Neodiprion lecontei: one gene and its partner. The protein of the gene in region 2 purifies or fractionates together with the protein of the main gene of each other region. This does not show direct contact. Links are inferred from orthologs where the notes say so. Each region holds a gene or a part of one and is shown on either strand. Other genes may lie near its edges.

What was found.
Region 1: the proteins of striatin-interacting protein 1 (region 2) and striatin purify together in Drosophila melanogaster (affinity purification with western blotting; 4 studies listed by BioGRID, with this or other methods). This does not show direct contact. The link is inferred for Neodiprion lecontei from reciprocal best matches to the Drosophila melanogaster genes Strip and Cka.

What each region holds. Positions count from the first base shown.
Region 1 is NC_060262.1:28,369,478-28,374,369, reverse strand, and holds the start of striatin, read right to left. Parts: upstream 3,109-4,892; 5' UTR 2,837-3,108; coding exon 2,543-2,836; intron 1,126-2,542; coding exon 1,022-1,125; intron 570-1,021; coding exon 390-569; intron 1-389. Other genes in the region: leucine-rich PPR motif-containing protein, mitochondrial, read left to right, coding at 3,652-3,794, 3,884-4,032, 4,456-4,578.
Region 2 is NC_060264.1:31,863,068-31,868,073, reverse strand, and holds the start of striatin-interacting protein 1, read right to left. Parts: upstream 3,173-5,006; 5' UTR 2,920-3,172; coding exon 2,815-2,919; intron 2,239-2,814; coding exon 2,122-2,238; intron 1,934-2,121; coding exon 1,650-1,933; intron 1,508-1,649; coding exon 1,329-1,507; intron 1,118-1,328; coding exon 804-1,117; intron 372-803; exon of another isoform or gene 348-371; coding exon of another isoform or gene 1-347. Other genes in the region: uncharacterized protein LOC124294738, read left to right, coding at 1-347; tubulin gamma-2 chain, read left to right, coding at 3,740-3,788, 4,174-4,376, 4,469-4,615, 4,705-4,841, 4,937-5,006.

The DNA of each region.
Region 1 (4,892 bases), on a different chromosome or scaffold from region 2:
TGATTGCAGTGGACATACTGAGCCATGCTGATAGAAAAAAATGAAAGCATACTACTAACAACACCGCATAGAAAGTTCTGAATATTTTTATGTAACATATCAGTAACTTCATTAGCAGAAGGAAAAAAACAGTTGGTCATTTTTTCGAATGTGATGTAAACAATTAGAGCTGTTATTGCAATGAAATGGGTATCACTTATTCCTTATTTGTAATTAGAATAAGGTCACTACGGATATGTATTGGCCCTAGATATATCGCTATGCAAGTTTCAAGCTAAAATCATTCTATGGCTGAAGCAGCACCAAAACCAACTGTTGCTTTATAATATAAAAATATCGAATTTCCTATATTTATAACAAAATGACAATATGACGTGAAACATACTTACTGTCTCAGAAGCTGTCGGCCCTGCCGCCAGCTTATATTGCTAACAGAAGTAAATGGAGTCTCACCATCCCCTCCACCACCATCAGACCCACCGCAAGTACTTCCCTCGTCGTAAATGGGTGGCTTTATGTCTCCTTGTACCACGAGGTCAGTACCATACTTTAATTTGTGATATTTTGCCCTAGTTTTGTAAAGAATAACTATTTATTCAATTTATTTGAAATGAAGTGGAAAAGACGTATTGAATAAATGATAAATCTGACACTATGTGCGATGTTCTTATAATTGTAGCACATATTGTATCTTGATTATTTATAATTGAAAAATATTTAAACGTATTTTATTACAAAGTACAATTCATAAGAAATTTGCTAATATAAAAATTATCTATTACTTGAACATTGACATCCATATATTGAAACATATTGAATGAAAACTTAAAAAATTGTGTCTTTTATAAGGATTGATAATGAAACAGAAATCAGGAAAAAATGTCATTTCAAAGCATTATACCCCCACAAAAAATATCAGACTGCTTTTAATTTGGTTATACATCAGAATTTATAACATTGGTAATGATTCATTACTTTATCTCTAATGGCGAACTTTGACATTCTATTCATTTAAATTTACCTTTCTTGCTTTAGTACGTATTCCAACATTTTTATCCGTCGTACCAAGTCATTTTTTAAATTTTCTTGCCCCTTTCTTTCACCTTGTAGAAAGGCTATTCGGGCCTGTAAATTAAACATCCCAATAAAATTTCCTGGTAGGGTAGTCAATCAATCTTAAGTCTATGAAAATCTATATAACATTTTTCTAACAGAAGTTATGTTATAAAGCCGATGTTAGAAAAAACGCCCCATGAAGGTATTAAATTTTTATTTCATTGTAAAATTCATAGCCAAAGTTAGCAGCCGCAAGTGCAAAGGTTGATGAAGATGATCCAGTAAGACTCAACAATCAAAAGATCATTGAATTTCACGAATAGCTAATTGATTTACAAAACTATAGACATCAAATTATTGAAAATTACTATCTCTGAAAAGTTCCACATGTTTCGCTGTTAACTCTGGCTTCTGCTTCACTGCTACATTATCCCCTTACCAATTTTCATTGCAACAAAGTAATGAAGAACCTGAAATTTCATTGAAAAGTATGCTCATTTGAAATGCAAAGTTCAATAAGCCAGCTGTTTAATGAAAATATTGTCAGAAATATTGCGAATATTGATAATTGTGGCAGATGTGACTTGCTAAGCATCTTGTGTATAGATCTGTGTGAATGAATTAGCAAAAATTAATAGTTCAATTGCCAAACAGTTCATGATGTTAATAATTGTTCGTATACTCTTATTCTAACTTCTAAAGCATACTGTCACATAATTCGTTAATATTTTTCTGAATAGGTATTTAGAAGGAAAATTGATTTGAATAACTAACGTCCAGAGAATGTATCTGTGTTATTATCATTAAATATGATGTATTGTTTGAAATGTACATGCGTTTACTAGTGTTTGAATGATATAAAGTTAACTAGTGAGTGATTGTTACTGATGGTTAACATTGATACTTCGATTAAATTGCATCTGTTTGTGAATTAGTGACATGTAAAGAAACTTTATTCGTTACATTGAGAGGTGTTGTCAAGTTAAATATTGTAACCATGTTTGCATTACTTCTTGCAAGTAAAAATTCAATAATTACATTTCGCAGACTATCAGTGTCTCCAATGATTACACGTAAATCATGTGATATTGAAATTTGTTATTCTAGTAAATTTCATTCTATTATGAATCAGATAAATTAATAAAATGGATATGGATGTCAAATGTTATGAATTTGTTAAAACACGTTTGATGTAATAAAATTTACGACAATTATTGTATGGATACGTTGTAAATCAAATTTTGACACTTGACATCCGTTTGATATGTGACTAAAGTGTAAAAATTTTTTTGCAGTGTGCACAGTGTCATGAAACAAATCGTGCTACGAACTGTTTCGAACCTATTTGATATCAGAGCGACGACCGTCTTTGGCAGGCTCTTTATACAAATGGGCAAATAGGAAAATCATAAGGTATGAAGGCAATGTAAACACCTGCGATATATATTGGAATGTACTGACAAGTGAACAATGAATTCAGACAGACCTGAAATTCAGCTCTGTCGACTTCCCACTGGGATCTTTCGAGTTCGAAACGGGCCCATTCGTGCTGAATGAAATGCAGGATGCCTGGTATTGAATATTGCGGCCTTTGGTCACCATTGCTGCCGTCGCTACTTTGGGGCTTGTAGGACGTGTTCGCCCCGACTGCCAAGTTACCTAATTGTTCGTCATGACGGTCATGACCCATCAAAGTACCGCTGCTTTTATACTCCATTCTAATTCTAGGCTCCATAGTGACGACTTTAGCGTAAATTTGACTGGGCACCTTCATTTCCATGACATGGCAGCCATTACAGCAACTTCTTTCTTTCCTTCCCTACGAGCTGAGAGATTGACGTTCGATTCTATTCTACCTTTGCTTTGTTTGGTAATCGACGAACTAGGCTTACTGCACATGAATATGCAGCACATACGGTTTTCACAACAATTTATAACTCTCTATGTTTTTACACGGCTTCAATACAATTATTTACTGTCATTAATTCAGTCAAGTTAACCGAATAGTACGTCACTTGACGAGGTGCCTGTGATCGGACTACACAATGATACCAACCTCCACCCGATGAAAACAAATTTTGTCCGTTAAAAAATCGGCAACAAGACGTGCAACGGCTGCCTCAGATATTAGATTACGGCAACAGTACCGCGGAAAATAGAAGAACCTTACGTTTTATTGCAGATTATAGTTTAGATGGCGCGACAAGTTGGAAAATTTTCCACACCCGCAGCAAAGCAATCTTTACTCAACCGTCGATACCACGAAGACCACGAATACCTGACAAGGATTATCGAATTTAAAATGAGATTGCCTCTCCATTTTTTATGGAAGGATAAAAAACTGTAATGGAAAGTTATCAGTCATCGCCAACGCACATATCTATGATTTTGATGATGCTACAGGAGATGCCATCTATTGTGACTATATGGCGAGACACTATTCTCAAAGATCGCAAAGCTTTCTAGCCATCTGTGTTATTTGTGAGCGACCTCTCATGCTCTTTTCTGCTCTTTTCGGTGACTCCTTCATGTAACCCGGGCATCGTTATCCTGCGGAGATAGCAAATTGTTAAATCTATCTGCACATGTATAATAATGGCAACTATATTACGGTCATCAAAGTACTTCCGCAACTTTGCTGAACTTACGACAAAGCTTAGTTTCTCTCACGTGAAATATAATGCCTGTGTTACTCTTCTTTCTCAAAGGCACTGCATTGCACCTTCAACATTAGTCAAGTAAGTAAAGTTAATTTCAATATATTTTAATGCAATTACAGTCATGTTACACAGATAGCAATAAACCCGTTTCATTATTCACTCAAAAGGTCTCTGGCTACCCAAGTGGCTGTCAAACAAGTGGAAGGTGACTCTGCTCTTGAATTGTCCCTGCGAAGAGCTGAAGCTGATGTCAGGAAGTACGGACAGATACGTGGGACCAAATTGGATCAAATCTTTAAAATATTTCAATCTTCGAGTAAGTTGTTTTTTACTTTCACTGTTTATTCAATTGAGACAATATCTTGTATGTGTGTATGCAGTACTAAATAACTGTTTATTGGTTCATAAGCTTATCAAATTCATTCCGCAGTCTTGGGGTTTATCTGCATACTTGTACCTAGATATTGAATTGTAATTCTAGGTTTTATCTTAAATTCCTATCATTGACAAATTTCCAAATCTTGATATATGTTAATGTCGTATTATATTTCATTTTCATCAAATAAATTAGCTCAACATGTGCAGTGAGAATTGATAGTTTTGTTTTAAATGATATTTTTCATGTATTTACATTGTTTAGGATTTAAATTTAATTTACTTTGAATTTATGTTTTGGCTAATACCCACTCACTGTTATTGCAGATAGAATTCATACCTAATGTTTACATGAATTTTGCAGAATCTGTTAGTAGTACCCAAGCCCTTATGCTCTTACGATGTTGCGGAAACTTGGTGGCTAGTGAATTACCAGAACACAAATCTGAAATTGCTAATCGAATATGGGAAAGCTTGAAAAATTCAGGTATGTTCTTTAAGGTGCAGTATGGTATACATGGGGTCGAAAATCATAGAAAGTGTAGAAATTAATATTGAATTTTTCAGAAGAGTTCAAATTGTGAAAATAGCTTTGAATATTATTTCTCTTGCATATTATTTTAGATCTAACACCACAAGTTGAAAAGTATGTATACATATTATTTTATCTGGACGAGTTTGAAATTTAACACTTAAATGTAATACGTATATACAGAAAAGCAATTTAGTTAATGTAACCAGAATAAGACTAAAATTTGCTACTTAAGTAATATTTCTTTTTTTTCTTCCGATGAATCACAT
Region 2 (5,006 bases):
ATGATGTTTATCTATTAGAAGAGCTAACCAGATGCTATTTATCTGAAGAAGAAATTTTAACCAGCTGGAAAAGTTTTTCAGCAGCTTTAGAAAGATTCTGGGACAATGAGACAGTTGCAGGAATGTTAAAAACGCTTCGACCATTGAACGGTTTCGTATCACAGAACGTAATGAGACAGTTGTCACATGCAGGAATATCTTACGATTTACTCGTAAGCACCTATAGACATGATGGGAAACATGCGACAATATCATTGATAGAAGAAAGGGTGAATGGCAAGCCGACAGTTATAAAACAGCAAAAAGATGTAAACCAAATTATTGAATATTTGCAGATGGTAAATTAAAGTTTCCGATGCATAATCCATACAGACTCCGTATATTATTTAGCCTATATGGTTTATCAAAGTTTCTGTTATTTCTACATTTTATATAAGATTATGAATTGCTTTTTTGTTCCAATTAATACGAAGATTATTGTATTCGTATAAACAACTTGTTGAGAATATCAAATATATAGATTGACTAAAATCATACGAAGCCTTTCGATTGCTTATTATAAGTTTTCACTTCGAACATTATGTGTTCTTTAAGGATTAAGTAAAACAGGTAGCTTATACAGGAATATCAACAACGCACGTTTGCAAGACCTAGTTCGCTCAATGATCACATTGCATCTGATTTATACGCTCAAAGTCCACATGACCAAAAGACCAAACGGATCTGCTTATCAGCTCAAGAAGAAGGAATATACAGCACATAACCGAAGAATAATCAAAGGTAAGTAGAATGAAAAAACTTACTCTACGGAAAGATCGACCGCTTCTTTTCTGATTCTGTGTTTCAAGCAGATCAGCGGCGCTAGCAGGTGGCGAACAAGATCTCATTCCCTTGGCGATTTCTATCGTGTCTTCCTCCTGAATATCCAATCCAGCTTCCGCTCTGTAATTGGCTTTCAATTCCCTTAAAGTTTCAATGCCACCAAGCGACACTAGGATAACTTTCCAGAGAAGCAGAAGGACCTTTTTCATGGGGAAATGTGACGCCGAACCGCTACAAAACCGTGTTGCCATTCCGAGAAGTTTCACCGCCAGTAATTCTTCTCCGTATGGATTTACTATATACAGAATGAAAATAAAAACACTTTTGTAGCACTTATAGCAGTCTAAGAAAGGTTTATGCAATCAGAGTATGGTGTATTTTTAATTATGATGGACAATAAGAACTGTAAGAAAAGATTGTCAAAACAAAAGACAGAAGAAATATTAGAGGAAGGAACAGATTGTTGGTTTGAAAATTGAGTAGAGAAATTCAAGAATTTGACGTACTGAGTTCTTCCTTAAAAGCTTCAACATTTTTTTTGTAAGGACTCTTCTCTATATCAAGAGCCTCGACCCTCATCACTTCGGTAATGATGTAGAGAACAGATAGAATCACTCTGAGGTCAACCGAATCCGCCAAACTCACAGCCAACTTCCGTGAAGCTGACGTAGCCGCTGCACTGTTTCTAGAAATGAAAAGGCAAGCATAATAATATTGGTAATAGCCTGAGCCTTCCTGGATCCCATTGTAATTATAAAATTTACCACCAGGTACAAAAACGACGCACAGAGGAAAGACTATGAGTTTAAAAAAGCTAGCAAACTGACTCAATCTCGATGTTGAGCAATTCCACAAATGCTGGAAAGACTCCAGCCTCGTACAGCAGCATGACATTCGTCCTCGTCCAGTCCTGTTGTTCCTTGTCTGACTGTACTTCTGCCCAGGATCCTTGAGCCAGGTAGAGAATTGCACAGGCAGCTTTCATTCTGATCTGCTTATTCGACACTTCAAGCTGGTCCAGCAGCTTGTAAATTATAGATCTCTGCTGTGAGGTTGGATGTGTTTGCCACCAAGGTTGCAGTTTGTACTGTTCCATCTGCTCTTCAAATGCCTGAAGCAATGGTTGCAAAAAATATTCAAAATAATAACCAACATTTGCATTGATTCAAAAATTGAGATGTGTATTTTGCATATATATCTACTTTAAAAAAGAGCCATGATTTGATTTATAGTTTCATCCATCATTTCATAATCTAAATCTAATTCAATATTTATACGTTCAAAGTGAAGATATATTACTTTAAGATTATACATGAGCTCATGTTTTTCTGTATAACTATACAGCTCTGCAATTTCATTGGCATGGGTGTCAGCATCGTCATAGACGAAATCCAAGTCAGGAGTTTCGTAGTCATCCTGAAAGAATAAGTATAAAGATGAAGACTTTGCGCTGATAACTTGAGCAGTGAGATCTGGTCATAATAAAGCTTGGAGGATCCGGGCTAATTGCTGTTAAATATCATGTCACTTTTAAATGGTCACAACATGTACCAAAAAAGGTTTAGAAATGTCTGAAAACTATTTCAAACTTATGAGAAATTGTTCGATATCAATTTAGAAGTTTGTCATAGACATATGATCCGAAGAGAGATATTTCGGACTTCCCTTATAACATAATCGGTGCATTTTAAGCTACCATGTGTGTGGATTGCATGGATTTTGTCACAATATCAATAAAACGGGATTACAGTCTAATTGAAATGAAATGGAAAATCGTACTGAAATTTAGGGATTCATGAATCAATTTTTTGCTAACTAGTTGACTGACAATCAGCGGTCGCGTATCACTGAAATTCTATTGCGGCCGACTACCTTTGGCATAAATACAATGAATACAAGGTTAGGTTTAGGTTGCACGAGAAGTGATAGTGAAATTTTCTGAGAAACAAACCGCTATTTTCCAACGAATTAATTAATAAGTAGAACACTTACTTCGGAATAATCTTTGTTCGGTTGGTGCTTAAGTTCACGATATTTTCGAGGCGTTATTACGGGGCCCTTTTCGTTAAAATTCGTGTCGAACGTAAATGACGCCATAGTCTATCTTCCTAAACAGCTGTACGTTGTCGTTTCTACTTTTTATTGTTTTTAAAACATACAACATGTCACATAAATGTTTAGAAAACCGATGGCGCGGTGATCAAAAATCTTCTATCTTGGGTCACAATTCACAATCTTTTTCTTCACTTAACGCTTTCCCTGCGTTAATACCATAGACTTGAGACGGTTAATATCACTATTTATTGTTCCTTGTTTATTCCTTCTACAGGATTGTTCGCTTTTCGTTCCAACATCTATTGTTAACTTACATATCTAGGTTCATCGCATGATCCATGGTGTGTGTATGTTGGTGGGTTGGTGGCCGCAAGCCGAAACTTTGAAAAGGGCTGAAACTCTGATTCAAATTCGATTGAACGGTTGATAAACAATTGACGTGCTATAATTATGCACGGATCTCGTGAAAAATTAACAAAGGCCTTGTGGTTTACCAGATTGTAAAGTTGAGCTTAACAATAATGTTTTTCACGGGCGTTGGAGCATGTCAATTATTTATTTTACGTTTCAATCGAATTGAATCAGAGATCTAACCCATTTCATAGTTTTCACTTGTGGTCACCAGTAAGCGCTGCAGACACCTAACATAAGTTAAGCAAGAGGCTCGATGAGAAATTGTCGAAATCTGGTAACAGTGCTACAGTCGAGTCTGTAGTTACCGGAGAGAGGCGCGCGTTTGAATTTAATCAGCGTCCTAAAAGTCAACTGTCAAAAAACAGTAGTAAACAAGGATTGAGGTGAATCTCATGTCGAGACGTTTATTCAGGTTATTTTGTTCGCTGCGGTATAAGCAAGAGTAAAAATGCCGTGTGAAATGATAACCTTACAGCTGGGCCAATGCGGCAACCAGAGTGAGTATTTTTCGAGTATTGAGAGACACCTGAAATGCACTAATTTTCCCATTTTGGAGGTTATGTTCTAGATAATCTAAATTGCTTTTCCGGCTAGCATTCAATTCATAATTGATGCCCATTTTGCAACATTTTCATGTTATACTTTCTTTAATATTCTTATTTTTGGTCAGTTGCTCAATTTTGTAACAAAGTCCTCATAATTGGCAGTATATTTGTGTCTATTGCTTATCGCTCTTAAGATCATACAAATTGCTCATTTATCCATGCCTTTGCACTTCAACATCTTATCCCTCACTTATTTTGCTAACTATAATTCTTTCCACACCTTATTATGAGAGGAATATGTGTTACTGATCCAAAATCGTTTGAACTTTTCTTTCAGTTGGTTTTGAATTCTGGAAAAGACTTTGTGCAGAGCATGGAATTAATCCTGAAGGGATTCTTGAGGATTATGCAACAGAAGGAACAGACAGAAAAGATGTCTTTTTTTACCAATCGGATGACGAACACTATATACCACGTGCTGTACTTTTGGATTTGGAGCCTCGAGTTATACATACGATCATGAACTCGCCCTACTCTAAGGCTGGTATCATTTTAATACATTCACATTAATTTTCCAGTATATCTGTTACTTTTCCAGTAATTAATAACAACTTCATTGTCGATGTTCACAGCTCTACAACCCTGAGAATATATATTTATCAAAACACGGAGGTGGAGCAGGCAATAACTGGGCGTCGGGTTACCACCAGGGTGAGAAACTACAGGAGGAAATCTTTGACATCTTGGACAGAGAAGCAGATGGGAGCGACAGCTTGGAGGCAGGACAACTGTTACACTTCAGCAAATATCAAATACTTTACGTCACACATGAACTTCTCTTTATTGTAAACAGACTGATTGATTTCAGGGATTCGTTTTGTGCCATTCAATTGCCGGCGGGACTGGCTCTGGTATGGGTTCGTTCATGCTGGAAAGCTTGGCTGACAGGTTTCCAAAAAAGTTGATAGAAACTTACAGCGTGTTTCCCAATCAGGATGAGATCAGGTGATTTTCTTTAAACTGGTTTTCACTACAAATTTCAAAGTTAAACTTACCAAGGCTCTAATGTTTTCACATCAACTTTCTTTGTCTTGACACAGTGATGTCGTCGTGCAACCGTACAATTCGTTGCTTACTCTGAAGAGGTTGACACAATGCGCAGACTGCGTT